7 linked regions of the Nothobranchius furzeri genome follow. The protein of the gene in region 1 purifies or fractionates together with the protein of each later gene. This does not show direct contact. Links are inferred from orthologs where the notes say so. Each region holds a gene or a part of one and is shown in the gene's direction. Other genes may lie near its edges. The genes, in order: cdc26, anapc4, anapc7, nek2, anapc1, anapc13 and anapc2.

Region 1 (4,275 bases):
GGTGGGTGTTGCTGCAACCATTAATTTCTGAGTCAACTCCATTATCTATCAGATTTGATATTTTTTTTAGATTTTATGATCTACATCACTGACAAACCTAAAAAAAAATCTATTATTTCCTGATTTCTTGTAGTCTGCTGTGTCCATGAATTAAATACCATCTTCTTCTCATCATTTGAGTTTTTCCAGTTCAGAGAGGCTCTTGATGCTCACCACCATAGCCTGTTCTGGTGGTCCAGTAAGCTTGATCATTACTTTACAGTTCCTTATCCAGGTATCCTGTATTTTCCTCTCCTTCTTCAGAATTCTTGCTTGCCAGGCAATCTCTGCATTCTTCTTTGTCAGGTGCTCATTTACATACACTCCTGTGCCCTTAAGCTTCTTTACGACCTTTAACAAGTCAACTTTATGTTTCCTGCTCACAAACTGAATTATTGTTTTGTTTTTTTTTTCCAGTTTTTTTAGGAATTGTGTAGCATGCAGCTATAGTGGTGCTGTCAATAGAAATGCCCTTACTTCCAAAGAACTGAATAACTTGTTTCTCCAGTGACAAACTATTAATGGTAAATGGCCTGTATTTGATATAGCGCCTTCTGAGTCCTGCAACCCCCCAAGGCGCTTTACAACACAATCAGTCATTCACCCATTCACACACACATTCACACACTGGTGGGGATGAGCTACGATGTAGCCACAGCTGCCCTGGGGCGCACTGACGGAGGCGAGGCTGCTGAGCACAGGCGCCACCGGTCCCTCCGACCACCACCAGCAGGCAACGTGGGTTAAGTGTCTTGCCCAAGGACACAACGACAGCGACAGACTGAGCGGGGCTCGAACCTGCAACCTTCCGATTACGGGGCGAGATCTTAACTCCTGTGCCACCATCGCCCACGCAATGGTGGGTTAGGGTTAGTTCATTATTTATTAACTAACATTAACACTAATTGATAAATTTTTATTATGTTGTTTGAACCCAAGGGTCTCATTATCAGATTTTTTTAACTTGTTGGATTGATCTAAAAGTGCCCCCTTTTTTTTTTTTTTTTTTTACTTTGAGCCCCGCCCCGTCAAAGGTCTCTGCACGGCCCTGGTTTCAGTAGAACGAGCTCTACGAAAACCTGACTGCCTGGAAGCTATCATAGATGTTATGAGTGAGTTAGTAGTGAACTGGTGCTGCAACCCACACCAGTAGTGAACTGGTGCTGCAACCCACACCAGTAGTGAACTGGTGCTGTAACCGTAGCTGTGCAGAACACACACGGACCGCACGACGAAACCATAGAAGCGTTCTGATGTTCGCACGTGACTCGGAGCTAACGGCTCACGGACACGCGTGTCTAGCCGAGCACGCGCACCTGCTGTTTGGACCATAAGCGTGTTTCTCTGTTTTAAAGCTTCGTTTGTTTTGTTGTTCAAACTTACCGTAAAAACAGACGAAGCCGCAACGTCTCCTAGCACTGCAACCCGGATATGAAACTGTTGGCTTCCGGGTCAAAGCTTCTTTTTCCGGTTGGTGGATCCGTGGACTTATGGGTAATTAACCAATCTACCTGTTAGCCAGATAACCAAACAGCTGACGATCAGGACGAAGGAGAGTCTCGGTGCGTCAGGTAAAGTCACCTGGGTTCGTCACACAAACGGGTTCGGGTGGACGGAAGTAAAGTTGACATGATGTTCACAGATTCGACTTTTCCGCCTCAACAACTTCGGATGTTCTGGAACATAACGCTGTGTGGAGTCAACCCGCAACACCTGCGTTATTTAAAACCTCTGCTTGCGACGCTTTTACGTTGATGGGGTGACGGTGGCACAGGAGCCCAGAGCCCCCCCTTAACCGGAAGGTTGCAGGTTCGAAACTCATAGAGTTGCGTGTTTTCCCCATCCATGCGGGGCTTCCTTGCGGGGTTAGACGCGGTTTTCCCCCCCTACAGGCTAACTCTTGTAGGTCTGCCACATAAATCAACTTGCCCTGCTCTCCTAACATTTTTTGATAAATGTGTCTTTAATTAGGTGAATTTTTAATCTCCTCCACAGTAGGACCCTAAACCTAGTGGCGCCAAATCGTCACAGCTGATCGATACTCTTGTGCCCGGCTTGGTAAACCTTTTAGGTTAAGAAAAACTGGTTTTCTGATGTTGGGTGAATTTTTCTAACTTGAATTATCAGTAGGTCCTACACAATGCACGGTGGTGCCACCTGCTGGTGAAGGTGGAGGTTTGTCAGCAGTGGCAGAACCAACATTAGGACGAATTACTGGATGCTTTCTTTGCAGTGAGATGATAAAGCATCTGGAGGGCTTGTTAGTGACCTGAGCAGTGAGAAGCGTGATCAGTGAAACATGTAAATGAATGATAAACGACCCACGCTTGTGTAGCACCTTTCAGAGCCTGAGGACTCCAAAGCGCCTTACACTACAGTGCATCATTCATCCATTCACACGCTGGTGGAGATGAGCTACGATGTAGCTACAGCTGCCCTGGGGCACACTGACGGCCAAGGCTGTCAAGCACTGGTGCCACCGGTCCCTCCGACCACCACCAGCAGGTAAAGGTCTTGCCCAAGGACACCACGGCAGCATTCTCTGTCTGAAGCTGGGATCGAAATTGCCACCTTCGGGTTAGTGGACAACCCGCTCTACTCCTGAGCTGCTGCTGTCCATCATGTAGTTCTGAGCTGCTGATAAAATTCAGGGCTGACTACAAAATCTTGCTCATCACATATAAGGCCACTCACAACCTTGCCCCTCGTACCTCTCCCATCTCATAAAGGTTTCTACACACTCCCCAGTTGCCATCAACCGGCACAGTCCCCCTGCCCGTCCTGTCACCGTGGGACGTCTGCCCCCTAACCCCTCTCCGTGGAAGTCATTACCAGCTGAACCCTCCACCTGTTGAAGCTTTTCTCTTCCCTGTAACTATGTTTGACGTTTTATCGTGCTTTTGAATGCACCACTCATTTAATGCTTGTTCGACTGTTTCGTTTGCTTTTACTTTACAGTGAACTTGAGTTTTTAGAAAGTATTTTTACGATGATTATTCACTTCACACATCTGTTTGACTGTAATATCCAGTTGTTGGTCTTCTATTTTTAGCGCTAACTATTTGTTTCTAATTCACTGTTAGCCATATTGGCTAAACGTTAGCTTCTAGCCACTTCAGCCAATATTAAAGTCAAACAAAACAATGCCGTGGCTTCTTAACTTCTGGGTCGCTCCTGTCACTGGCTTTTTTTTTCCTGTTAAAGATTTAAAAATATTCCTACTATGAGGAAATTCAAGCTCCTTCAGTGTTGTTAGTTTGGAGTCAAAGGCAAGAAATCATATAAAATATCTAAACAAATGAGACCTCCTAACCACCAGCTCACATCTACGACCTGGCCTCATAGCCTGCTACAGAGCGACTTCATGTTTGTTTACGGTCCACTAAACATCAGGTTTCAGCAGGTTTCAGCAGGGGACATTTGCACGGACATCACACGTAAAAAATATTTCTAGTCGATTGTTTTTCTAAATGTTAGTATTTGTTGTGCAGGTGCATAACAAAAACGAGGAAGATGCTGAGGAGGAAACCAACTCGTCTGGAGCTGAAGATCGATGACACAGAGGAGTTTGAGAGCATCAAGAAAGAGCTTGAGGTTTCAGTCACTCTTCTTTGTTCTGACCTGTAGCTGTCGTCACCAGATCTAATCAGAGGGTGACTATTGATGTGCTTTTTTTGCTGTCTTTGGTTTTTCTGACATCAGATGAAAACAGGTTGTTGATCTTAACATGTTTGTTTTTCTTTGTTTAGTCCAGAAAGCGTCAGCGAGAAGAAGCTGAGGCAGGAGGAGGAGTGGGTGGAGCTTCTGTCATTGGTGTGGATCTGATTGGGGGTGCAGCTTCTGGCTCAGCATCCTCTTCCACTGCTGCGTCCAGGGCAGAGCTGATCAACGAGAGAATCGGCTACAAGCCCCACCCTAAACCCGCCACGCTGCCAACCTTATTTGGAAGTTTGCAGTTTTAATAAAACTCAGAAAACATGTTTGTATGTATGTGTGTGTTTGTTTGTATGTGTGTGTTTGTGTGTGTGTGGACCACTGGTACGTTACACCAGTGAGTCATGGCAGATGGCTGCTTATATGGAGCCATGATCCTCTGGAGTTTTGTTCCTGTTAAAAGGGAGTTTTCCTCTCCACTGTCGCTGCATGCAACAGTGGAGAGGATCAGACAAGATCATCGGGTGAGGGATCAGAAAAAGAGCAGCCCGAATACCTCTTATGATAAATTATATAAATGGA
Region 2 (4,132 bases), on another chromosome or scaffold:
AAGAGGCTTTGCCTCTCTCCCCAGAAGAGCAGCCTTATTGGTCAGATGACAGGTAGGATCTTTCAGGTTTAGGGTCCAATTGCGTTCTGCCTCTGCAGTGGGCTGCTGTCCCATCTGTGCTGGTCCCTAACTGCTCTCTGAGTGGGGCTAAATTTGGCCCCTAGCTCATGTTACACAGCCAGACTGCTGGCAGGAGCAATGAAGACTGAGGGGGTCTAGGTGAACAGAAGGAGCTCAAGGTGTTGGTTAATTATACACAGAAAGCACAGGATGTTGGGATGGCTAAGTTTCACACCAATTGTGCTGTTGTATGCAAGTACAACAGAATGTTTGTAATCTTTTATGATAATCTGAACTGGCCACATCTGAAAACACACAATAATCACCCATTGACCTCTCAGACTGAGCTGGTTCCTCCATGGCTTTAAAACAACTCAAAATTATTATGAGGATCTTGAAGAACCCGGTCACTATTCGGTCCGATTCCATTCTGCACACACATATGGAATGATGCTCAGCATTTTTGTTAAACTTCATGCATTTCCTGATTTCTCACCAAGCGAGACAGATATCCTGGGCCTTGGAAAGAATAAACCATGACCACCATGCAGCCTCACTTGGTCTATTTCTAGTCCACCATCACATTTTGTGCTCTCTGAGCTATTCTGGCTCTTCTTCATTCTGCTGATTACAGTTAAGTGCTGCTGATAAGTCCAGTAGGAGTTTCCATATACACTCACAATACACACGTGTGCAAACACTTGGTGAGTAATTTGGATTTCTACTTGACAATTGTCATCACCCAACCCTCTGTATGAAGTGTTATTTATAAATAACTACTTTATCCAATGGCGACGTCTCCATATAACATGTGTACAGCATCTATTTATGAGTACTGAAATATTTTAGCATAGTTTTATATCACCAGAATGAAACCACCCTTGCAAACTTTCCTATATTTCTAATGGAATTAATATAATTTAGTCAACCTTGAATTTTATGATCACTTTTAACTTTTAAATCCAAACAAATTCTAAGCAATGCATTCAATTGACAGAGAAGTACAAAAACACATTATGAAAAAACTTATTTTATATTTTGTCCTAAACCCTCAAAGTTTAAATCTACTTTTTAATCTGCATAGAATATAACATTTATTAAAAAATAAAAATAGGACCAAAACGTTAACTTTAATTTGTTTTAAATCCTTACCAAAGGCGCCATCATGGGGTGCAAATCTCTAGACATATTTAGGAATCGAGTTTTTTTTTATTCCCCCCCCCCCCCCCCCCTTCTGAATACGTTTGTCTCTTCTCGGCTGCCGTTGCTCTACAGGGATTGGTGGAAGTAGAAATATGGCGGTGTTTGAGTGACTGCGAAAATATTACGATGAGATATTAAATTCGTATATTTACGATTTGGGTTTATTTGGTGTTATCGTCTGGTCGGGTTAAAATAATCGCTGTGAATCATCAGTTTTACCTGCTAGCTAACAGCTGTTAGCAAAACCGGTGAGTGAGGCTCCAGCTAACGAGCGGCTAATTTATGCTTCATAAAATGAGTTGGAAATGGAAAAGTGTTGTGCCTTTAGCTCCCTTTTTGTTTTTGAATCTCGTTAAGTACTTCAATGTTTTCTCTTTTAGTTGTGACCCTGAAAACTCTACTGTTATCACGCAGAAAACACATAAATGTTTCAAAGCTCGTCTCCATCGCAGTGTAATTTAAGGTCTCGTTGCTCTCCGCATTGAGTTGTATTGTTTAGTGTGTCTTATTGCTGACGTCATGCTCATAACTCGGTTCTTTCATTACTGATTCTTGACTCTGCATTTGGGCCTCTGTATTCAAATGCTAACATTTCTATTTTTCTTTATTGTTACAATTATTTATTATCTTTACAGAAAAAGATTTTTAATATTTAATAATCAGTTGTATATTCAATAGTAAACGAAATATTGAAAAGGTATGTGATTTTTGATGATTATTCTGTTATGCATGTACAGGTTTATTAGATGTTTTACAGATCACTCATTGAATCTGTTCTCACTTTTAATAGCCCATCTTGGTACATCTTCTAAACCTTGTAATTAGGCCCCTGCTGGCCATTTATCACACAATAATGAATGTAAACTTTCTTTCTTTTTCAGCTAACAACATGCCTGCCTTTCGGCAAGTGGGAGAGAAGCAGCTTCCAAACCCGGTCCTCTGTATGGCATGGTCTCCAAAGAGGGATCTGATAGCTCTGGCCAACACAACTGGGGAGGTGACTTTAAATCCCTAACTGTTCTGAATCAAGGTGACTGTTTCCTGTTGTTTGGATGGTTTATTATTGTGATTTTCAACAGGTGCTACTGCATCGCTTGGCTAGTTTCCACCGGGTTTGGAGCCTACCACCCAGTGAATATACTGGAAAGAAGATAACCGCACTTGCTTGGAGGCCTGATGGCAAAAGTAAGGGATTTTTTTTTATCACATTTTTGTCTTAATGGAATTGTGAGAATTTGTTTTTTGTAACCCCAGTATTGGCCTTCAGTCTTGGAGACACCAAGCAGGTTGTCCTTTGTGGGGTTGAGAAAGCAGAGATCCTCCACATGTTTCCAGTGCAGAGTCCTGTAACCTGTATGAACTGGATGGAGGTGATGGAGGAGAGCAGGTAATCAGGAAGCTCAACAAACATACCACGTTCTGTGAAATCTTGTCAAAGCTGATATGAAGGATTTTTTGTGTGTGATTCAGTGTCCTCAGCTCCTTTTACACTTCAGAGGATGAATCTAAACTTTTTCTTCCTAAATTACCAACTCTTCCCAAGAGGTAAAATTAAAAATGTTGTCACAAGAAAAGACATTTTGGATTGACTGGCCTGATATTTGTCCAAACTTTTGTTTTCAGCTACAGCACAACTTCAAAGATCTTCAGGTGGGACATCTTTTTTTTTTATCATAGATGTATGTGGCATGTATAGCACAAACAGAAACTGACTGCATTCATTTCTGTTTCACAGTGAGGAGAAGTCTGATGAGATACTCAACCTCCTTGGAGAAGTGAGGTAAATATGGTTAGAGTCACTTACTGCCAGGAGCAAATGGACATCCTTAAGATATTGGAATTTTTATTTATGGGAACCAATGAAAGCTGTCTCCATGCAGACTAAATGTACTTGTTCTTGGAGGAGATGGTGGAAATGTGGAGCTGTATGCGTACGGGATGTACAAGATTGCAACGCTGGATGGGGTAAGGCAGCTCTGTTTGTTCAGATGAGTTGTTCCATTTGTCGTCTGTAAAAAAAATTTACCAAAAATGTTTTTAAGTGACTCTAAAGTTAGCATAGATATTTGAAATCATAAAAATTCTAATTTAAATGCAGGAAAAAAGTAGCTAATTATGCCAAAAATCTTTAGTAGACGGCATTAACGGATTTGACTGTGACTTTAATTGATGAACTTTCTACAGGTTTCAGGAACATGTCGCAGTCTGAGTCTGTCGAGTGACCTCAAGTCTCTGTCTGTCATCACAGAAGTCAAGTCTGCTGACAGCAGCGCAGACATCTGTTACGTCCAGGTGAGATGGACACGTTCCTCCTCCACACTTTGTTTTTCTTTCCTTTAACTCTAACTTCCCTCCTTGTGTTTCAGCTGGACACAGGATTGTTGTCGGACTGTTTGCCTGAACTCACCAGGATGGCGCGTAAGTTCACTCACATCTCCACCCTGATGCAGTACCTGCACCTGTCACTCACATGCATGTGCGAAGCGTGGGAGGACATCCTCCTGCAGATGGATCATCGTCTCACTAAGTTTGTTCAGGTCAGTTGTTTTTGTTTCCTGTCAGAGTTTTTCCTGGCAGACCACCACACTTCCTGCCTGCTGTGTGAGTTTGTTGGACAATTAGCAGAATTTAGCATGTGTGCTTATTAGTGATGGGATTTATAGCTCTTTCAAGGCGGCTGCTCGTTAGTTGTTCGTCTACCTTAAAGAGCAGTTCAAAAGACTAGATCCCTTGAACGAAGCCATGGGGGTGTATTTGGGAGCAACGTGTTCCTCCGGTGTCCATGAGGGCGCGCGGAGAGTGGGTGTCACAGCAGTGGTGGGGGTTGAGCGGCTAGGGGGGTTGTCGTTACAGGAAGACAAGATGAACG
Region 3 (3,241 bases), on another chromosome or scaffold:
ATGTTGGACCCTTACCTCATCAAAGGTAAGTCACAGACAGCTGTTCATGCCTATGACCGCCTAGCAGTCGTGTGGTTTTCCTAACTTGACCATCTTTTTCAGTGCTGTTGTGGAGGAAATGCAGTTGTTTTTATATTAATGTATATAATTAAATCACATGAAGGGATGGATGTTTATGGCTACCTGATGGCCCGAGAGGGACACCTGGAGGATGTTGAAGTCCTAGGAGGGAGATTATTTAACATATCTGACCAGCATGCTGAACCCTGGGTGATCTCTGGGTGAGTCTCTAAGCAGACATCCCGACTAGACCTTTGTGAAGATGCTTCTATCAGGTTAAATGTTTTTGTTCAGTTGTCACAGCTTTTATAGCAAGCGCTACTCCAGAGCCCTCTACCTGGGGGCCAAGGCCATCCAGCTGAACAGCAACAGCGTGCAGGCCCTCCTCCTGAAAGGGGCAGCCCTGAGAAACATGGGTCGGGTTCAAGAGGCCATCATCCATTTCAGAGAGGCCATGCGTCTGGCTCCCTGTCGACTCGACTGCTATGAAGGCACGCTGGGGTTTTGGAAAAGTCTTTCGGTGCTGGGTGTTTCTCGCCTGCTTACAATAACTGAATTACCACAGGTCTGATTGATTGTTACCTGGCGTCCAATGGGATTCGAGAAGCAATGGGAATGGCAAACAACATCTATAAGACCCTGGGGGCCAATGCTCAGACGCTGACCATCCTCGCCACCGTGTGCCTGGAGGACCCTGTGACTCAGGAGAAAGCCAAAACCCTTCTGGACAAAGCACTTGCTCAGAGACCTGATTACACCAAGGCTGTGGTGAAAAAGGCTGAGCTGCTCAGTACGTTCAACTAACAACTGTAACTTTAACCAGGGAGGGAGCACAACTCACAGGTTTCTCTGTTCAGGTCGAGAGCAGAAACACGAAGAGGGGATTGCTCTCCTACGAAATGCCCTGGCCAATCAAAGCGACTGTGTCCTGCACAGGATGCTGGGAGATTTTCTGGTAGCTGTCAACGATTACCAGGAGGCCATGGACCAGTACAGTATAGCATTAAGGTAAACAGATCAATCTTTCAGAGCCTGTCTGAGATCCCTTCACCTTCACAGTGTAGGGATAGCATATGTATGTGTTTTGGGTGCTTTTAAAGCTCAATATACCACACTACATTTGACCAACAAGATATGAATTTCTATTTAAATATGGAAATTCTGTCTGATTGGTCTTTGAATGTTTAACCAGAAGATTTAGAATTCTTTGTTTATTCAGGGATTGTCAGACACTTCGTATTAAATCAGTCAAGTTTATAAAGAGTAAGACATTTATTTTCTAAACAATTAAAAACATGACAACTAGGAACACTTCATGTGATGAATGAATCTAAGTGGATGGAAAGTGAGGTGTGATGATGTGACGTTATCAGAGCCGTCGTATCTGGAGAAACTGAGTTCTGAGTGGGAGTGAATTTGGTCTGCTATAACTATAGTGATGGTTTGTAAAACCACATCAGACGCAATCTGTGAGCCTACGTATCCTCTGGGAGACCCCCGTGGTAGATCCGGAATGTGTTGAAGTCCGGGGACCCCAAAGGTACCGAAGTCCGTAGAAGAAACTGCAGTGCCGACTAGACCGGTCTCGAGATGTCTCCAGGTCACGACGGGTAGTTGTTTGCGTCTTAGGAATAACTCTTAAGGAGTTGGAAGTTGGTTCAGCTTTGTTCTGAAGGAACCGTTTGCGGTCAGCTGTAGCGTGCAACAGGGTTTTGACAGCTTGTCAAAGATGCGATGGGAGCAGAGTTTCCCTCCGATGGCCAGTCAGAGTTGGGCTCTACTGAATCCCTCAGGAAGTGATGCTGTTTAAATAACGGCCATATCTTGGTTTACTGACGAATCAGAACTTGCCCTGTAAAGGGGTTTTGCCAACAAACTCCGATACACACCTCTCAGATATGAAAGTGCTGAATTTGTGGATAAGAAAATATCTGTTTGCAGTGACGTTATTTCATTTAACCACATTGTCCATTTCATTACATGATTATATGATTAGTTACTGATATTGTTCATCCGTCTTGTTCTGTGAATAAAAACCAGTCTTAGATGAGAGCTTGCGAGGGACCTTGGCCAAGCAACAGTCTTTCTTGCAGATTGAAAGCACCAGTTAAGACTTATGTCTCCAAACGGCCAGATACTGAAGAGGTCCGACTGTAGGTGGAAAACTGACCATTCCTGGAGGCTACAACAGCATGGATAATACCGTTCCGACGGTTTCAGTAGACTTCACATTGTGATGATGATGATGTGTTATGAGAAAAATTTACATTCTGCATTTGCCCCTCCTCAGCCTCGACCCTAATGATCAGAAGTCCTTAGAAGGCATGCAAAAGATGGAGAAGGAGGAGAGTCCAACAGACGCCACGGTGGAGCTGGATGGTGACGACATGGAGGGCAGCGGAGAGGACGGAGATCTGGAGGGCAGTGACAGTGAAGCAGCCCAGTGGGCCGATCAGGAGCAGTGGTTTGGGATGCAGTGACCCGGTGCCAGTAAGGACTGCTCCATCACACTGGATGCCTTCAGCCATTGTGGCCCCTGGGAGTCATGTGATCACGATGGTGAGCTCCATGGGAGCGGTGCTGCTGAGGTTAAAGATGGGGGAGCTATCAAGCGTAAAAGCTAATGTTTCTGAGGGGTTTTTTACTAAGAGTCAGCTTCATGCCAGAACCGGACCTGCCAGCCACCACCGGCCTCCATCAGGAGGATTTACTTGTAAATAACAAACCCCATCAGCTACGTAAAACCAAGGGACACCCAGTACCACTAATGGTGATTATGCTTCTCTCTGGTGAGAAATCCTGAGGAGCTTTCTCATTTCACTTTGAATCTGACCTCCAGTACCCTTCACAGTGCTGTGTTAGATGGAGGCCCGTGCTGTACAGGAAGTGTTTTAGTTGAGCTGAAGGTGAGTAAACAAACCACCAGCACTGGCGAAATGTGGCTGTTGTCTGCCAGTGTGGCTGGGGCTGAAGGTGTTGCAGGAAGATTTCTCCAGCCTGACTCAAACATCAACTCAAGTGCAAAGTTTCCAGTGTTTTTTTTTTTACATGTTGTAATAAATGTATAATAAACTTGTTTGGTTTAGAGCTAGGTTGTGTGCTGAAACAGTTCTTAAACCATAACAGTTTACTGTTGCAGTATCGTGTGTCCAGCCTCAGACGACATCAGAAGGACACCAGG
Region 4 (3,970 bases), on another chromosome or scaffold:
GCCATTTTCAAAGTTAAACAGTTGTAATTTAACAGCAGTATTCTGGGGTATTTAGCCTATTATAGCCTCCAGAAATGGTCAGTTTTCATCTACAGTGTGCCCTCTTCAGTATCTGGTCATTTGGAGACATAAGTCTTAACTGGTGCTTTTAATCTGCAAGAAAGATACTGTTGCTTGCCCAAGGTCCCTCGCAAGCTCCCTCTTATCTAAGACTGCTTTGCTTCACAGAACAAGAAGGAGGAACTTTCATAATTAAATCATGTAATGAAATGAACAATATGAGTTTGTTTCTCTTCGTTTATTTCATTCAATCAATCAAATAAAAGTTACATAAAACAACTCATGTTCCCAAATAATCATAAATGAAAAGGAGCAGAAAGAAGCAAAAACTTATATCTGCCTCTTTTTCACATCAAGACATTACCCACCACCCCTCACACCCCCAACACAAAACAAGTCTATCAGCCTACTTAAGTTCTATTATTTCATCATGAGACATTTGACACTTTTTTAAAATACAGAAAATGATTTAGATTGTTTCATTTCACTGTCGAGACAATTTGTTACGTCCCCGACAGGTGTTGTAAAAATGTGAAGGATGGGGGTAACATAAGAACTGGTGGAGGAGTTTAAAATGGGTTTATTTGTAACAAAAAGGTTTTAAAAACACAAGCAAACAGATCTCTCTAAAAAGGCTAACATTACATAGCCAAATTATCAACTATAAAACACCTGCTTAAAACTTATATTAAAAGTTTAACCGAGCAGAAGGTGTTTTAAAATCACAAAGTTGATAAAAAGTCCCAAACAATTTACTGAAATATACAATGTTAAATTTATATGTTTTTATCACAACATCTATTCGTCAAAACACTTGTTTGATTTGTTCTATAAATATTGAAAAATATATATATGTATGTATATATATATATATATATATATATATATATATATATATATATATATATATATATATATATATATATATATATATATATATATATATATATATATATTAGATGTCATCATGGTCCTGTCATTCATACCATGGGTTTTAGCGCCATCGTGTGGACAGTTTAACAATAATACCGTCTACCCGCGCTACTATCGCGGTACTTAGGTACCTGACAACCTCGTGAGTTGTTTCTTCACATTGACCAATCCGAAGCCACAAGATGGAGCGAATGAGCCAATCACGAGCTGGTATTTCAGCACTAATTTTAAACAGAAGAAATACTTCCTGATTCTGAGAAACAAACAACACACAGAAGCGATTTAAGTGAGTAAATAATAAGTAAACGTACATTTCTATTTTTTTAATCATCTGGTCAGACAAACGATACTTTGCTAAAAATCTCAATAAGTTTTGAAGTTTCTGGTTTAAACGAGCTTTAAATCTTGTGTGAATCTGCCCTAACGTTGACGCTAGCGTTGACTAAAACAAGATGCCGACCCGTGTTGAGGACTACGAGGTGTTGTACACCATAGGCTCCGGTTCCTATGGAAGATGCCAGAAAGTGAGACGGAAAAATGACGGGAAAGTGAGTATGTCTCCAAACGAAGTCTAAAAAAAACAGCTGGTAAAATGTTTAAAGCAAGACGATTCGCCATAAAGTGCCTGTAGTTGTTCATTGCAGTGATTGGGACTCTTAACAGCTGAAAAAATGTGTGTGAAACATTAAAATAATTAAACATTTAGAATTTTAATAAGTTTGAAACACAGTCTGTATTGCTAATTACACCAATCTATCAAAATATACTCAGAATTAACACAATATAAGATTTTAAAAAAGTGCTGCAAAGTAGTTTATAGTTGCCAGATATATTCAACAGCCTAAGAGACCATTCACTTGCTCCTTTTGGAAATCTTTTGCAGCTTTTAATTAGTATTTCAGGATAGAAAGGATTTCATTTGACAAAAAGGCCCTTTTTACGTCTAGTGAATACATTTCATATCTGCCCCTTTTTTCTTAATTGGAGTAAAAACTGTATGTTTTCACGACAAAACTCTTTGTAAATGATGCCCATGTGTTCTGTAGATTCTGGTGTGGAAGGAGCTGGACTACGGCACCATGGCAGAGAGTGAGAAGCAGATGCTGGTGTCAGAGGTGAACCTGCTGCGGGAGCTCAAGCACCCAAACATAGTGAGATACTACGACCGCATCATAGATCGTACGAACACCACGCTTTACATCGTCATGGAGTACTGTGAAGGTGGAGACCTTTCCAGTCTCATCAGCCGGTGCATCAAAGAAAGGTAAGGGCTCACGAATGCGTCTGTCCTCTGTGAATCTGCAAAGTTACAAGTTAGTTCCTCTCCAGGCGTTACTTGGAGGAGAGGTTCATTCTGAGAGTTATGGCTCAGCTCACCTTGGCCCTGAAGGAGTGTCACAGGCGGCGTGACGGCAGGGCTACGGTCCTGCATCGGGACCTGAAACCAGCCAACATCTTCCTCGACATTAAACAGAACGTTAAGCTCGGTGACTTCGGTCTAGCAAGGATTCTGAACCATGACACCAGCTTTGCAAAGACTTTTGTGGGAACGCCGTACTACATGTCTCCTGTAAGTTACTTGATGATGTCACATCTGTTGAGCTTTTGATTATAAAAGTTTCTGGGATATTTGCAATTTTTGTTTTATTGTCTTCATTTGAACATATTACTAGAATTTTATTTATATTGTTTAGTTATGAATCATTTTCACCTGTATATGAGACGGTTGCTTTTCCAGATCTACAGTTTAAAAATAGATTTTACACATTAAAATAAACATTTAAAAATCTCTCTTTTTATAGAAATGACTCAATTTCAGTCATTATTGTTCTTGCAGGAACAAATTAACAGGATGTCGTACAACGAGAAGTCTGATATTTGGTCCCTGGGGTGCCTGCTGTATGAACTTTGTGCATTATTGTAAGCTCTTCCACACATTTTCCTTCCCTGTAGCAGTTTTCCAACACCCCTAAGAATATTCCCTGGGTTTTTCTCATTTAGGCCTCCGTTCACAGCGTACAACCAGCAAGACTTGGCAGAGAAGATCCGAGAGGGAAAGTTCAGACGAATCCCATACCGGTACTCTGAGGAGCTGAATGCCTTACTCAGCAAGATGCTCAACTTAAAGGTTTGGAATGAATTATTTAACAATGTTGTAATAGTGTGTAAGATGGCTGTGCACTTTTGTAGGCACTGTGCATGTTTTCCTGCTGTGATGATGCACAAATTTGAATTTTCCTCTGGGATCAATGAAGTATTTTTGAATTGAAATCATTCCTCACTGTTGGCAGGACTATCTGAGGCCGTCTGTGGAGTCGATCCTCCAGAGCAGTCTGCTGAGAGACGTGGTCTCCGAGGAGCAGAGGAAGGCACAGATACGGACCCAAAGGAAGTCTCCAGACCCTGACCGCGCCCCCCATAAGCCAGCTGAAGTGTCTATCCCAGCTGCAGAGCTCCGACTGAGGGAACAGGCAGTGCGGGACAGGGAACTCGCCCTGAGGGAGCATGAGGAGAGACTTGAGAGTAAGACTTGTGCTACACAAACATCATGTGTAACAGAACGGTAATATTTAACCCTGTTTCTAAGAAGTTGGGTCACTTTGTAAAAATGCAAATGATTAGCAACATATGTAGCCTTCTTTTGATTGTTGTGGAATTCATTATCTAGAAGAAGTTTGTTCCTCCACCTGCAAATAAAACGTTAAAGTTCCTAATGCTGATTTTAGAAAGAACTAAAAAGGGAGAATCTGTTTGGGGAATAAAGCAAAGTTTCCCCATTTTTGAAAAACAAACAAGCATTTGTTTCAGTAGGTGGCACTGATTTGAACCCTGTAGGTGATGTTCACAGCAATAAATAAATGAAATAAGCGTATCTGTAACTAAAGGTGCTGGTTAAAGACTGATGCGTTGTAGTCAAACCAATTTGTGTGGATGGAACTGGTTTATTATCTTTAACAAAAAACAAATATTACAGTCA
Region 5 (3,947 bases), on another chromosome or scaffold:
CTGACCAAGTCCTCCAAACACACCCACATCACCCCGCTTCTCCTCCAGCTTCACTGGCTGCCAGTCAACTTCAGGGTTCATTTCAAGATCCTGGTTCTGGTCTATAGGGCCTTACATGGACAAGCACCATCTTATATTGGTGATCTTCTTAGTGCCTACACCCCCAGCAGGTCCCTGAGGTCCAGTGATCAAAGCCTACTGGTTGTGCAGCACACCAGGCTAAAGACCAAAGGTGACAGATCATTTGCTGCTGTGGCCCTCAGACTCTGGAACTCTCTCTCCCTGAACCTGAGATCAGTGGACTCAGTGGTCTCCTTTAAAAACCAGTGGAAAACTCACCTGTTCAAGCTGGTTTTGGTATGACCGTCATCACCCTCTCATTGTTCTGCTTTCCCTACCTATTCCACCTTCCTCAGGATCCACTGATCTCCCTCTTTCCTATTCACTCTCTCTCTTTCTTTACATTTTTTATCACAATTGTCTATTTTTTGCTCATTTAAAATATATTTCTAATTATTTTCTAAATTATTTTTTATTGTAGCGTTATGAATATGCCATTTCTGCCCTTAACAGCTGCCCTTTGACACAGTGACAGTGTGCATAAGTTGCCAAGGTCGTGCGCTTGCTTGTGATGTTTACATTCCAGCAAAGAAGACAGAAGAAGGACGAAGAATGCTTTTCATTAGTTAATCAAAGAACTTTATTTCTAATAAAGCTAATCAAAACAACTGTTGGTCAATAATAATCAGGTGACTGATCTGTGAAATCACAATGTTATGATTTGTGTTTAATGAATAACAGGACTTTGGACTAACTGAGCTAGACATCCTGATCCACATAAGGTAAACACATGACACATTGTTCACTCATCCAATCAGAACTTCCTTTCTGATGTGTGGCAGAGCTCTGTGGTGTTTAGTTAATCTGTCCACTCCGATTCGCTAAGAATCATAAACAACTGAGCTTAGTAAAAGAGAACAACGCCATTTTAATTTAGTTCCATCGCAAGTTTCAACGTAGTTCCAACGTGAGTTCAACCAGCTCTCAAATCCATCTGATGTACATCATCGCTAAGTGAAGTACAGGCTGGCCAGTTGTATTTTCTACTTTTAAGCTGAGAACTGTCAAGCTGGAAAACTATGTGACGCTGAAATCTGCCGTTGTACCGGGAGACTTGCCATAGACTGGTTTGTTGTGCTGCCGACGCTGTTTCACCAGTTCCAGCACCAAGGAGGGTTGAGGACCTGGCATCTGGATCTAACACGGAGGTCTTCGCACGGTACGTAGATCGGCATAGATAGCGTCTCATGTCTTCCTCCTGAAGTCCATCGTCGATCAGTTAGGGCAACAACAACTCGCACTCAGACTCGCTTTCACCAGATGGAGGTTCTGAACTGACACACACACACACCAACACTTCAGCTTACATCCATCTGCATCCATCATTAGAGAGTTAGTCCTGGTGACTGTTTCGAATAATTATAAAATAAATATTCTTAAACGTCCCAGCTCTTTCTCTCTTCTTGTCTCTAATTCAATACAAGGTGTTTGAATAAAATCCCCTGTGGTAAAAACAACCTCTTCTGATTCTAAGGGCCCGGTCCAAAGATTAATGATCCAGCTCAGGTTTGAATCAGTGATATCTCTGGACCTTAATAAAAGTGTAAGAATATACCAATTATATTCCGCTACATTATATTTTACTTTTTTTTGTGAAGCGCTTCGTGATTTTTATCTTGAGAGGCGCTATAGAAAAGATATTTTCTTCTTCTTCTTCTTCTTCTTCTTCTTCTTCTTCTTCTTCAGCTTGACTGATTTCTAACCTTTGTATGTACATTAAGTCAACTCATTCAAACCATATAATTTCTAATCTGATTTTCACCCACCAGAATGCTAATTTTTGTTTTTATATGTTTGTCTGGTTTTATTTTTTAATTCAATACATTATTAACCAGGTATCTTTTTCTTTTGTTACGGCCATTTTAGCCGGGTACAAACCAGCAATATGTATTATTTGTCAAACACAATATCCCTACGTATTGATGGTTGGAAATCATAGTTATTAAACACATTTGTCTTTATTTTTACCATTGTAATTTAATTACCCCAAAATCTTAAAAACAAATTTGACTTATCGATGAAAAATCGATTTGTTTGTGTGGTATGAACTATACATTAATTGGTTTTGTATTTTTAGACAAGTTAAGGGACTTCACTATTAATGTTTTACAAAACAGACTCACAAAGTAAAGAAAAAATACACAAAAGTCTCTGGTCGAGCACAGTCGAACACAGACCGTCCTGATCACGACAGCCAATCAGCTCCCAGTACGTAAATTTGTCGTTGCTTATTGGCTGAGCCGTGGAGGAAAAGGCTGGCTGGACAGCAAAGATGTCCGCGGTCATTTGAAAACCTGTTGTAGCCAAATCATTATTTTGCCAGCTTTATCGACTCGTTTTGTCTGTACGCAGCGGTCACACCGTTGTGCTCAAACAAGCCTTACAAAAATAAAAGACGAGGACTCCGCGACAAGAGCCAGACTATTCCTTATTATCAGGCAAGCGAATAAATATGTCCCTGTATTGTTAATGCTAATGCTAGCTAACACGCTATCTAGCAATTAACAGTGGTTCTATATGAGGGATTAGCTATAGCATGCTAATGTTTGGTTACTTCCAGCTGTATAATAAAAAGAGAGCTTTGCTTAAGGCTGCTAAAATAACCTATCGAACCTATTATGAACAGACGCGTAGCTTCTGAAACTATCGTTGACTACAACGATCGTAACAATCTTTAATAGAGAAGTGATGACTTAATTCGTGCTATTCTGCAATTGACTGTACTTATAGAATCTTAATTAAGAATAAATAAAATTATAATACAGTATTTAAAGACATTAACTGTTGCCAGAGTTCTTATTTAAAATTTAACATGTTTTCAGGTCTGAATAGGAGAAAATGCTATTTTAACTGTTCTGTCTAAATTGTATTCATGTCTTCCACACATGATTCAGTCTGTCTATCTGTCTAGAGAGATAGATTTGTGTGTGTGTCTTTCTAATTATTTATCTTTATTCTTATTTTGCCACAGAAATAATGCTGAAATCTGTAACTCATGTCGGAAGTCGTGTATGAAGAGACAGCCACGATGATTGCCGCAGGGGAATTGCAGTCGTTTGTCCCGTTTGGCCGCGAGCACTGCAGGAACCATCCAAATGCCTTCAACCTGCAGCTTCGAGAGCTCCAGCCAGCCTCTGAGCTCTGGTCATCTGATGGTGCTGCTGGCCTGGTAGGGTCTCTGCAGGAAGTCAGTCTGCAGGAGAGAGAGAGGGTGAGATTGCATGATCTTTGAGCGTTAATTTGAAATGTGCCATGTTTATTGTTTAGTAGTTCTTTGGTTCACACTAATGAATGGCGTTTAATTGAAGGAATGGTGGCAGCTAAGGAAGGGATGCACGGGAGTCAAAGAAGAGGAGGTCATGTTTGAAGAAGAGCTTTATGCGGCTGGAAACGTGGTTGTTTGGAGTCAAGGCAGCCGGACACAAGCCTCTAGTGTGTACAAGGCTTTCACTGTTGACAGTCCAGTGCAGCAGGTTGGCAAATATGAAAGCCAAATATCAATTTCTGTTTAGAAAATATAAATTTTAATTGTTAAATTCAAAGCTCAATGAAATCTCATGGTTTCTTTCCCGGTCTTGACACAATCTTGTTTTTTTCTGAAGGCTTTATGGTGCAACTTTGCTGTTCTTCAAAACAACAATGACGGTACAGTAATATTTAAGACCGTTTGTTGTCGGCTAGTAAGAATTGCTGCAGCTCTACCTTTCTATCTTTATTGAAATGACTACATGCTTTTAATTGTTGTCTTTTTGCAGAAGAAGTGGAGCAGACGATTTGTATTGTCCAGAGCAGCTGTATTAATGTTCACACTGTGACTGGGAAAGATT
Region 6 (3,978 bases), on another chromosome or scaffold:
TAAATCTGTGAGACTTTGGGTGGTAGGAGTGAGGTGAGCTTTCAGGGGTCGGAGGGAAACTGCCATAGGCACTTGAAGTCGTCCTGTACAGGATCCTTCCAATGTTTGGGTTTGTTGCTGATTTCATGCTTCTAGTTGCCGAGGTGGTAATGGAAGAGACTGCTGGGTTTCCAGGGCTAGTGCATAGTTCTGTGATTTCTGTCTGCTGCTCTTGTGACAGGGACATCACTGGAGTGTCTGCAAAGTAAAAGAAAAGTTTACAACACTCAACCCCTACAGGACCAATCCTGCTGAAGTCAACTTCAGTAGTTACATATATATATATATATATATATATATATATATATATATATATATATATATATATATATATATATATATATATATATATATATATATATATATTTGTGTGTGTGTGTGTGTGTGTGTTTGCTTAGAAAAAGTACAAAATTATTATTAATATATAAAATTAATATTAAAATTATATTGTTAAATTATAAACAGCTTGCATTATTATTAGCTTTTTAAAATTTTGGCTATGTGAGTGCTTTTTGCAAACAGTATTATTTAGTGACATTTAAAATCTGAGGACAAATAAACCACATCTTTAATACCGCACACGCGCGCACACACACACACACACACACACACACACACACACACACACACACACACACACACACACACACACACACACACGCACGCACACACACACACACACGCACGCACCCACAGACAAATACGTTTAGCTAACATTTCCTGTTTTGAAGTAGTCGGCTAGGGATTTTTACAGGATTATTGGATACATACATAACTAGATGCGTCTGAGGCTTACTAGGGCCTCCGCTGTTTGCGTACATTGTTATACTAATTACCTTAAAATACACAAATACCGCAAAAATGTCCGCGCTGTTTTGATCAGGCCTCGCCAGTCGCCAGCTCTTCCGTGGGTCAAGAAAAACGATGCGTCTGGTTTCCATGGAAACCACTTAGACGAAGGAAACGGAATCGTTCATCTTTTTTAGTTTTGATTGCTTTTTACTTTTATAACAGAGTGGTTTATTGATAAACAACAACATTGAATAAATCAGACTGAATTAAATTGCTGGTCAAAATATAGAACTTTGTTGGCTTTGTAAAAAAATTCAGAAACTCTCCACTGCACCTGAAGGTATCGTTGTGTCGTCATCATCAAGCGTCGACGCCTACGTCTAAATTAAGCGTCTGTTTACTGTGAGCTAAGCGTAGCGTCTCCTCTAAGTGTATATTCTATCGAAATTATTTACCGCTGCTCTCTTCTTTTATTTCGATGAACTTCAGCTTTCCCTGCGAGGTTGAGTGGGTTTTTGTTGAGAGCTGTTTCAGCTGCTGAACCTGAAATGGACAGTGAAATTCAACGAGACGGGAGAGTCCTGGATCTGACTGATGATGCCTGGAGAGAAGACAAACTACCGTATGAGGATGTCACCATCCCCTTGGTAAAAACGTTAAACGTGTTTGCATTAAAATACAGTGTGGTTAAACAAATGGTAACGTATCCCTCAAATGACCATTCCGAAGTTCAAAATAAATCATTTGTGAATTATAAAAAAGAGCAAGTCACCCCCAAATCAATTTCTTTTTGCTGATAAAATACATAAATAAGTGTCTAATCAAGCTGTAGACACATGTAGTCAATAATTTGGCATTTTAGAGCATCTTAGTTAAAATTTAAATATTCTGCCCAGAACTGTCAGTGTTACACCCTCTTCAGGTAATTTTAAATCTGCTATCGCTATTGGCTAAGAGGTACCCTATGATGTCAGCTGGCACCATATGATGTCACAATAGGCATGTTTCCATTACCAGAACTCCAGGGTAGTTCCTGGGATGGGGAACTTGACCAGGAGATAGGATGTCCCAGTCCTCTCAGCTGTTGTGTCTCCATTCAGATTCAGCCCTTTCAGAACTTGCACAGACGTCAGCGGGTCACGACTGCTTTGGCAGTGAGTGATGTCACTGATCAGCCCAGAAAAGTGCCCAATGTGTCATTAATAATATCCATCCATCTTCTGAACCCGCTTTGTCCACGTAGGGTCGCGGGGGGGCTGGTGCCTATCTCCAGCGGTCAACGGGCAATTAGGCGGGGTACACCCTGGACAGAGAGCCAGTCCATCGCAGGGCAACACAGAGACACACAGGACAAAAAATCATGCACACACACACACATACACACCTAAGGACAACTTGGACAGACCAATCAACCTAACAGTCATGTTTTTGGACTGTGGGAGGAATCCGGAGAGAACCCACGCATGCACAGGGAGAACATGCAAACTCCATGCAGAAAGATCCCAGGCCGGGAAGCGAACCCAGGACCTTCTTGCTGCAAGGCAACAGCTCTAACCACTGCACAGCCCTCATTAATAATATTTAAAGCATTTATTTTATAGAAGTATATCATAATTTAATCCATTCAGAGGACAAGAGCAGCTCTGAGTTTTGTGAGACAAGCCCCTGGAGTTATCCCCCAGGCTTTCAAACAGGCAGTGGTCCAACCAGTTTTGAAGAAAGCTGGTTTGGACTCCACCTCCCTGGAAGCTTCCATTTTTATCTAAGCTTCTTGAGAAAGATGTTTTTACACAGCTCTCTGACCATTTGCAGACTTTTAACCTTTTAGACCCTTTGCAATCCGGGTTCCGTCCCGGTCATAGTACTGAGACTGCCCTTCTTAGTTTTTAATGATGTTCTGTGGTCCACTGATTCCGGCTCCCATGTTCTACTGGTGTTTCTGGATCTCACAGCTGCTTTTGACACCGTAGACCATGCTATACTTCTGTCCCGACTGAACCAGGTAGTGGGCATCCAGGGAACTGCCCTAAACTGGTTCAGATCGTACCTCAGCAACAGAAGTTTTTGTGTGAGGCTGGGGGATTTTGCCTCTGAAACCTCCTCTCTTCCCTCTGGTGTTTTTATGTTTCATTAAAACCTCAAGAGTCAGTGCAGCTGGCTGTGGATTGCCTGAATGAGGTGAATGGCTGGCTTTATAATAACCTTTTACATCTGAACGAGTCTAAGTTGGAAGCTCTCTTGTTTGTTCCTCCCTCTCCCACTTCAGTTAGTCCTGTCCTACCACCCTGTTTTCGCAGCTTAGTGAAGCCAACCATCACTAACCTGGGGATGGTTTTTGACCCGGAGCTGCAGATGGACTCCCACATTAGCCAGGTGGTTAGATCCTACTTTTTCCAGCTTCATCGGCTATCAAAGATGGAAGTCCATCCTGACTAGACACGACCTGCACACAGTGATCCATGCATTTGTGGTCTCTCGCTTGGATTATGCAAATTCCCCTTTTTATGGATCCACGTCTTCCTCGGTTGTGCGCCTACAGCTGGTGTGGAATATGGCGGCCTGCCCTTTGACGGACACCAGAAGGAGGGAGCACATTACTCCTGTTCTGACCCAGCTGCACTGGCTCCCAGTTTAAAATTTTACTTCTTGTTTTTAAGTCACTATCTTTATGTGCCTCTCTACTTGACTCAGCTGGTTCAGCCCAGTTCAACTCCGGTTGTAGCTAGATTGCTACCTTCGTTAGCTTAGCTCCCACCTCCGCGTTGGCTTTGGGTTAGCTTCAGGTTAGCTTGTAGCTACATTAGCTTCAGTTTGACCGGGTGTCGTCAGTTGATCCCAGCCTTACAGCCCCACCCTCAGCTCCGCCTCTCTTCCCTTTTGTGGAATTGTCTGGGCTTGACGGAACCTGTGACACGGTCAAAATGGCGGTGGTGGCCACCTCCCATTTTGGCACAAAAACTTTTAATTGGAGCCTATGGAAACTCATTGTCCATATATATATATATATATATATATATATATATATATATATATATATATATATATATATATATATATATATATATCGATGGTTCAGCCTTACGTACCTGGTCGAATTCTTCAATCAGCAGACCACCGCCTGTTACAGGTCCCGAGTGTTTGGGTGAA
Region 7 (3,500 bases), on another chromosome or scaffold:
AGAACCACATTATTTAATTAATTAGCTGCACGTTCTTCTGTCCTCACACACACACACACACACACACACACACACACACACACACACACACACACACACACACACACACACACAAAAGGGACTGTCTCAGCTGTTATTTTCGTTAAGGAGTGTGCACGTACAGCATGCGCGCCTCGTGCACGAGTCTACTATTGAAGCTGCCGTTATGCTTTTGGCCTGAGGGGGCAATCGCGAGCATAAAAATTAAAAACTCCGTCAAGTCCCTTTAAGAAACAAAAATTGGAATAAAAATCTTTATTACCAGGATATTTCCTTTCAGTTGTGATCAGAATAAATTCAAAATATTAATTTAAGACTTCATGATCTAATTTATTATTTGTCCTTAAATCTGCTTCCTACAATCTACTTTTATGATGAAGAAGAATCTGACATTTTCAGTTTCTGGCTTGTTCACGTCTGAAAAACAAAACCCGTGTGAGGTTTCTGGTTCAGCACAGAGAGACGGGACGGATGAGATCTCAGAAATGTAACCTAGATTCTGTCTGAGACCTAAAACTGGTTCTGAGACGATGATCGTTCTCTGTCTGTGTCTCGGGTTTTAAACTAAACCAGGAGTTTGTTTTTATTTATTGTTTGTGTCTGAAAATTTTCATTTCTCTGTCCTTTTCTGTTTAATAGAAACAACCCAAAGATTCAGTAAAGTTCTGTCATCAAAGCTGACCTCAGGCTGGAAATGGGTCAGATTTATTCCCCTGTGGTAAATCATGTTCTCTCCTTGGTTTCTGTTTCCCAGATTTTCCGGAATCTAAAGCTGCCATCGAGGATCTGAAGTTCTGCTTGGAGCGAACCAACCAGAGGCAGCAGCTCCTCGTGTCGTTGAAATCAGCCTTTGAAAGCCGCCTGCTGCACCCAGGTCTGTGTCAGTGTGAAGGACATCGACTGAACTCTGAGATCAAACTGCAAAGTTCACGTTGGGTTAAAATAAAAGACTAAAAATGCACCAAAACCAAAGTGGTAAAAAATAAAAGGCATTAAAATGCTGAAAAAGAAGCTTTTCTGAATAGAAGGTAAAAAACTGACCGGTTTAGATTTCTAAAACTGGCTGTTTATTAACAAACAAGTGGAGAGCTAAAAGCATTTCTTTGTTCCCGTCAGAGAAACGTTTCCTTTTTATCAAGCCCACGTGTTTTATGTGGAATCTGTTTGTTCTTCCAGGCGTTCACACGGCCGACATTCTCACCGTTTACATCTCAGCCATCAAAGCTCTCCGAGAGCTGGACCCGTCCATGGTGATCCTGCAGGTGGCCTGCCAGCCCATCCGTAAATACCTCAGGTAGGTCCGGTTCTTCCAGCGCTGCTTTAGTCTACCATCACCACTTGGAACAGTTCAACCTTCTGATGAAATACTTCTGATAGAACAACACAGATCTTGTTATAAATTGTTCGTTCTTTAATAAAAGTCTTTTTTTTTTCACTACACCCACTGTGTTCTTCTGATTCACATTTTAATTTACACTTTGGAGGTTTTTTTTTCAACTATATTTTCATTTATTGACATTAAAATAAAAATACAAAACTAAATTGCTAAAAGCCAAAATGAAAAAGGGGACAGAAAGAAGAAAAACGTATGTTATCTGCCCCTTTTAACTAAAATAGCAATAATACAAATGAAACAATCATATGATTCTTAAAAAAATATGAACAATATAGTTTCTGGACTGGTTGGCCGACACAACCTCAACCCATGAACCGAAAAAAAAGAGAAAAAACAAGTTGCACAGAAAGAAGCACAAAGTTATACGCATATATACCTACATATATACTTACATATATACACATATATACTTACATATATACACATATATACCTACATATATACTTACATATATACACATATATACCTACATATATACTTGCATATATACACATATATACCTACATATATACTTACATATATACACATATATACTTACATATATACACATATATACTTACATGTATACACATATAGACTTACATATATACACATATATACCTACATATATACACATATACACCTACATATATACACATATATACTTACATATATACACATATACACCTACATATATACACATATTCACCTACATATATACACATATAGACTTACATATATACCTACATATATACACATATATACTTACATATATACACCTACATATATACACATATATACTTACAGTACATATATACACATACATATATATACACATATATACACATACATATATATACACATATATACATACATATATACACATATATACCTACATATACACATATATACCTACATATACACACATATATACCTACATATATACACATATATACCTACATATATACACATATATACCTACATATATACCTACATATATACACATATATACCTACATATATACTTACATATATACACATATATACTTACATGTATACACATATAGACTTACATATATACACATATATACCTACATGTATACACATATATACTTACATATATACACATATACACCTACATATATACACATATATACTTACATATATACACATATATACTTACATATATACACATATATACTTACATATATACACATATACACCTACATATATACACATATAACCCTACATATATACACATATAGACTTACTTATATACACCTACATATATACACATATATACCTACATATATACTTACATATATACACATATATACCTACATATATACACATATATGCTTACATATATACACATATATACTTACATATATACACATATATACTTACATATATACACATATATACTTACATGTATACACATATAGACTTACATATATACACATATATACCTACATGTATACACATATATACTTACATATATACACATATACACCTTACATATATACACATATATACTTACATATATACACATATATACTTACATATATACACATATACACCTACATATATACACATATACACCTACATATATACACATATAGACTTACATACCTACATATATACACATATATACTTACAGTACATATATACACATACATATATATACACATATATACACATACATATATATACACATATATTCATACATATATACACATATATACCTACATATACACACATATATACCTACATATATACACATATATACCTACATATATACACATATATACCTACATATATACTTACATATATACATACATATATACACATATATACCTACATATATACCGTAAATCCTCTAATACAGGCCCGGGCCTGTATTTGACTCAAGCTCATCAAGCTCCAGGCCTTTGTTGGAAGGAGGGCCAGTATTAGAGGCAGGCCTCTATTTCTATTTGAGCAAAATGAACTAATGGTTCGTTGGAGTTTTTGACAATTAATATTGTGCCCACGTTTTCAAAGTTAAACACATTTCTTTTAACAACGGTAGTTTCTGCTTCAGCCCT

What was found.
Region 2: the proteins of cdc26 (region 1) and anapc4 purify together in Homo sapiens (affinity purification with mass spectrometry; 11 studies listed by BioGRID and IntAct, with this or other methods). This does not show direct contact. The link is inferred for Nothobranchius furzeri from reciprocal best matches to the Homo sapiens genes CDC26 and ANAPC4.
Region 3: the proteins of cdc26 (region 1) and anapc7 purify together in Homo sapiens (affinity purification with mass spectrometry; 5 studies listed by BioGRID and IntAct, with this or other methods). This does not show direct contact. The link is inferred for Nothobranchius furzeri from reciprocal best matches to the Homo sapiens genes CDC26 and ANAPC7.
Region 4: the proteins of cdc26 (region 1) and nek2 purify together in Homo sapiens (affinity purification with mass spectrometry; 3 studies listed by BioGRID and IntAct, with this or other methods). This does not show direct contact. The link is inferred for Nothobranchius furzeri from reciprocal best matches to the Homo sapiens genes CDC26 and NEK2.
Region 5: the proteins of cdc26 (region 1) and anapc1 purify together in Homo sapiens (co-immunoprecipitation; 6 studies listed by BioGRID and IntAct, with this or other methods). This does not show direct contact. The link is inferred for Nothobranchius furzeri from reciprocal best matches to the Homo sapiens genes CDC26 and ANAPC1.
Region 6: the proteins of cdc26 (region 1) and anapc13 purify together in Homo sapiens (affinity purification with mass spectrometry; 4 studies listed by BioGRID and IntAct, counting the BioPlex papers as one, with this or other methods). This does not show direct contact. The link is inferred for Nothobranchius furzeri from reciprocal best matches to the Homo sapiens genes CDC26 and ANAPC13.
Region 7: the proteins of cdc26 (region 1) and anapc2 purify together in Homo sapiens (co-immunoprecipitation; 7 studies listed by BioGRID and IntAct, with this or other methods). This does not show direct contact. The link is inferred for Nothobranchius furzeri from reciprocal best matches to the Homo sapiens genes CDC26 and ANAPC2.

What each region holds. Positions count from the first base shown.
Region 1 is NC_091746.1:69,564,739-69,569,013, forward strand, and holds cdc26 (anaphase-promoting complex subunit CDC26), read left to right. Parts: upstream 1-1,475; 5' UTR 1,476-1,610; intron 1,611-3,530; 5' UTR 3,531-3,552; coding exon 3,553-3,633; intron 3,634-3,788; coding exon 3,789-4,001; 3' UTR 4,002-4,019; downstream 4,020-4,275. UniProt on the Homo sapiens protein: Component of the anaphase promoting complex/cyclosome (APC/C), a cell cycle-regulated E3 ubiquitin ligase that controls progression through mitosis and the G1 phase of the cell cycle.
Region 2 is NC_091748.1:39,288,460-39,292,591, forward strand, and holds the start of anapc4 (anaphase-promoting complex subunit 4), read left to right. Parts: upstream 1-1,332; 5' UTR 1,333-1,511; intron 1,512-2,144; 5' UTR 2,145-2,152; coding exon 2,153-2,260; intron 2,261-2,342; coding exon 2,343-2,448; intron 2,449-2,517; coding exon 2,518-2,650; intron 2,651-2,733; coding exon 2,734-2,808; intron 2,809-2,886; coding exon 2,887-2,913; intron 2,914-2,998; coding exon 2,999-3,043; intron 3,044-3,143; coding exon 3,144-3,228; intron 3,229-3,447; coding exon 3,448-3,555; intron 3,556-3,629; coding exon 3,630-3,800; intron 3,801-4,132. UniProt on the Homo sapiens protein: Component of the anaphase promoting complex/cyclosome (APC/C), a cell cycle-regulated E3 ubiquitin ligase that controls progression through mitosis and the G1 phase of the cell cycle.
Region 3 is NC_091757.1:28,332,236-28,335,476, reverse strand, and holds the end of anapc7 (anaphase-promoting complex subunit 7), read left to right. Parts: coding exon 1-25; intron 26-163; coding exon 164-281; intron 282-354; coding exon 355-551; intron 552-625; coding exon 626-850; intron 851-917; coding exon 918-1,068; intron 1,069-2,350; coding exon 2,351-2,540; 3' UTR 2,541-2,741; downstream 2,742-3,241. UniProt on the Homo sapiens protein: Component of the anaphase promoting complex/cyclosome (APC/C), a cell cycle-regulated E3 ubiquitin ligase that controls progression through mitosis and the G1 phase of the cell cycle.
Region 4 is NC_091742.1:7,800,782-7,804,751, reverse strand, and holds the start of nek2 (serine/threonine-protein kinase Nek2), read left to right. Parts: upstream 1-1,170; 5' UTR 1,171-1,279; intron 1,280-1,287; exon of another isoform or gene 1,288-1,429; 5' UTR 1,430-1,445; coding exon 1,446-1,541; intron 1,542-2,039; coding exon 2,040-2,257; intron 2,258-2,322; coding exon 2,323-2,563; intron 2,564-2,830; coding exon 2,831-2,913; intron 2,914-2,994; coding exon 2,995-3,121; intron 3,122-3,284; coding exon 3,285-3,516; intron 3,517-3,970. UniProt on the Homo sapiens protein: Protein kinase which is involved in the control of centrosome separation and bipolar spindle formation in mitotic cells and chromatin condensation in meiotic cells.
Region 5 is NC_091752.1:26,758,982-26,762,928, forward strand, and holds the start of anapc1 (anaphase-promoting complex subunit 1), read left to right. Parts: upstream 1-1,147; 5' UTR 1,148-1,279; intron 1,280-2,419; exon of another isoform or gene 2,420-2,558; intron 2,559-3,091; 5' UTR 3,092-3,115; coding exon 3,116-3,331; intron 3,332-3,428; coding exon 3,429-3,593; intron 3,594-3,722; coding exon 3,723-3,765; intron 3,766-3,875; coding exon 3,876-3,947. UniProt on the Homo sapiens protein: Component of the anaphase promoting complex/cyclosome (APC/C), a cell cycle-regulated E3 ubiquitin ligase that controls progression through mitosis and the G1 phase of the cell cycle.
Region 6 is NC_091744.1:86,652,942-86,656,919, forward strand, and holds the start of anapc13 (anaphase-promoting complex subunit 13), read left to right. Parts: upstream 1-1,178; 5' UTR 1,179-1,379; coding exon 1,380-1,478; intron 1,479-3,978. Other genes in the region: pierce1 (piercer of microtubule wall 2 protein), read right to left, coding at 1-226. UniProt on the Homo sapiens protein: Component of the anaphase promoting complex/cyclosome (APC/C), a cell cycle-regulated E3 ubiquitin ligase that controls progression through mitosis and the G1 phase of the cell cycle.
Region 7 is NC_091745.1:17,485,645-17,489,144, forward strand, and holds part of anapc2 (anaphase-promoting complex subunit 2), read left to right. Parts: intron 1-793; coding exon 794-913; intron 914-1,215; coding exon 1,216-1,333; intron 1,334-3,500. UniProt on the Homo sapiens protein: Together with the RING-H2 protein ANAPC11, constitutes the catalytic component of the anaphase promoting complex/cyclosome (APC/C), a cell cycle-regulated E3 ubiquitin ligase that controls progression through mitosis and the G1 phase of the cell cycle.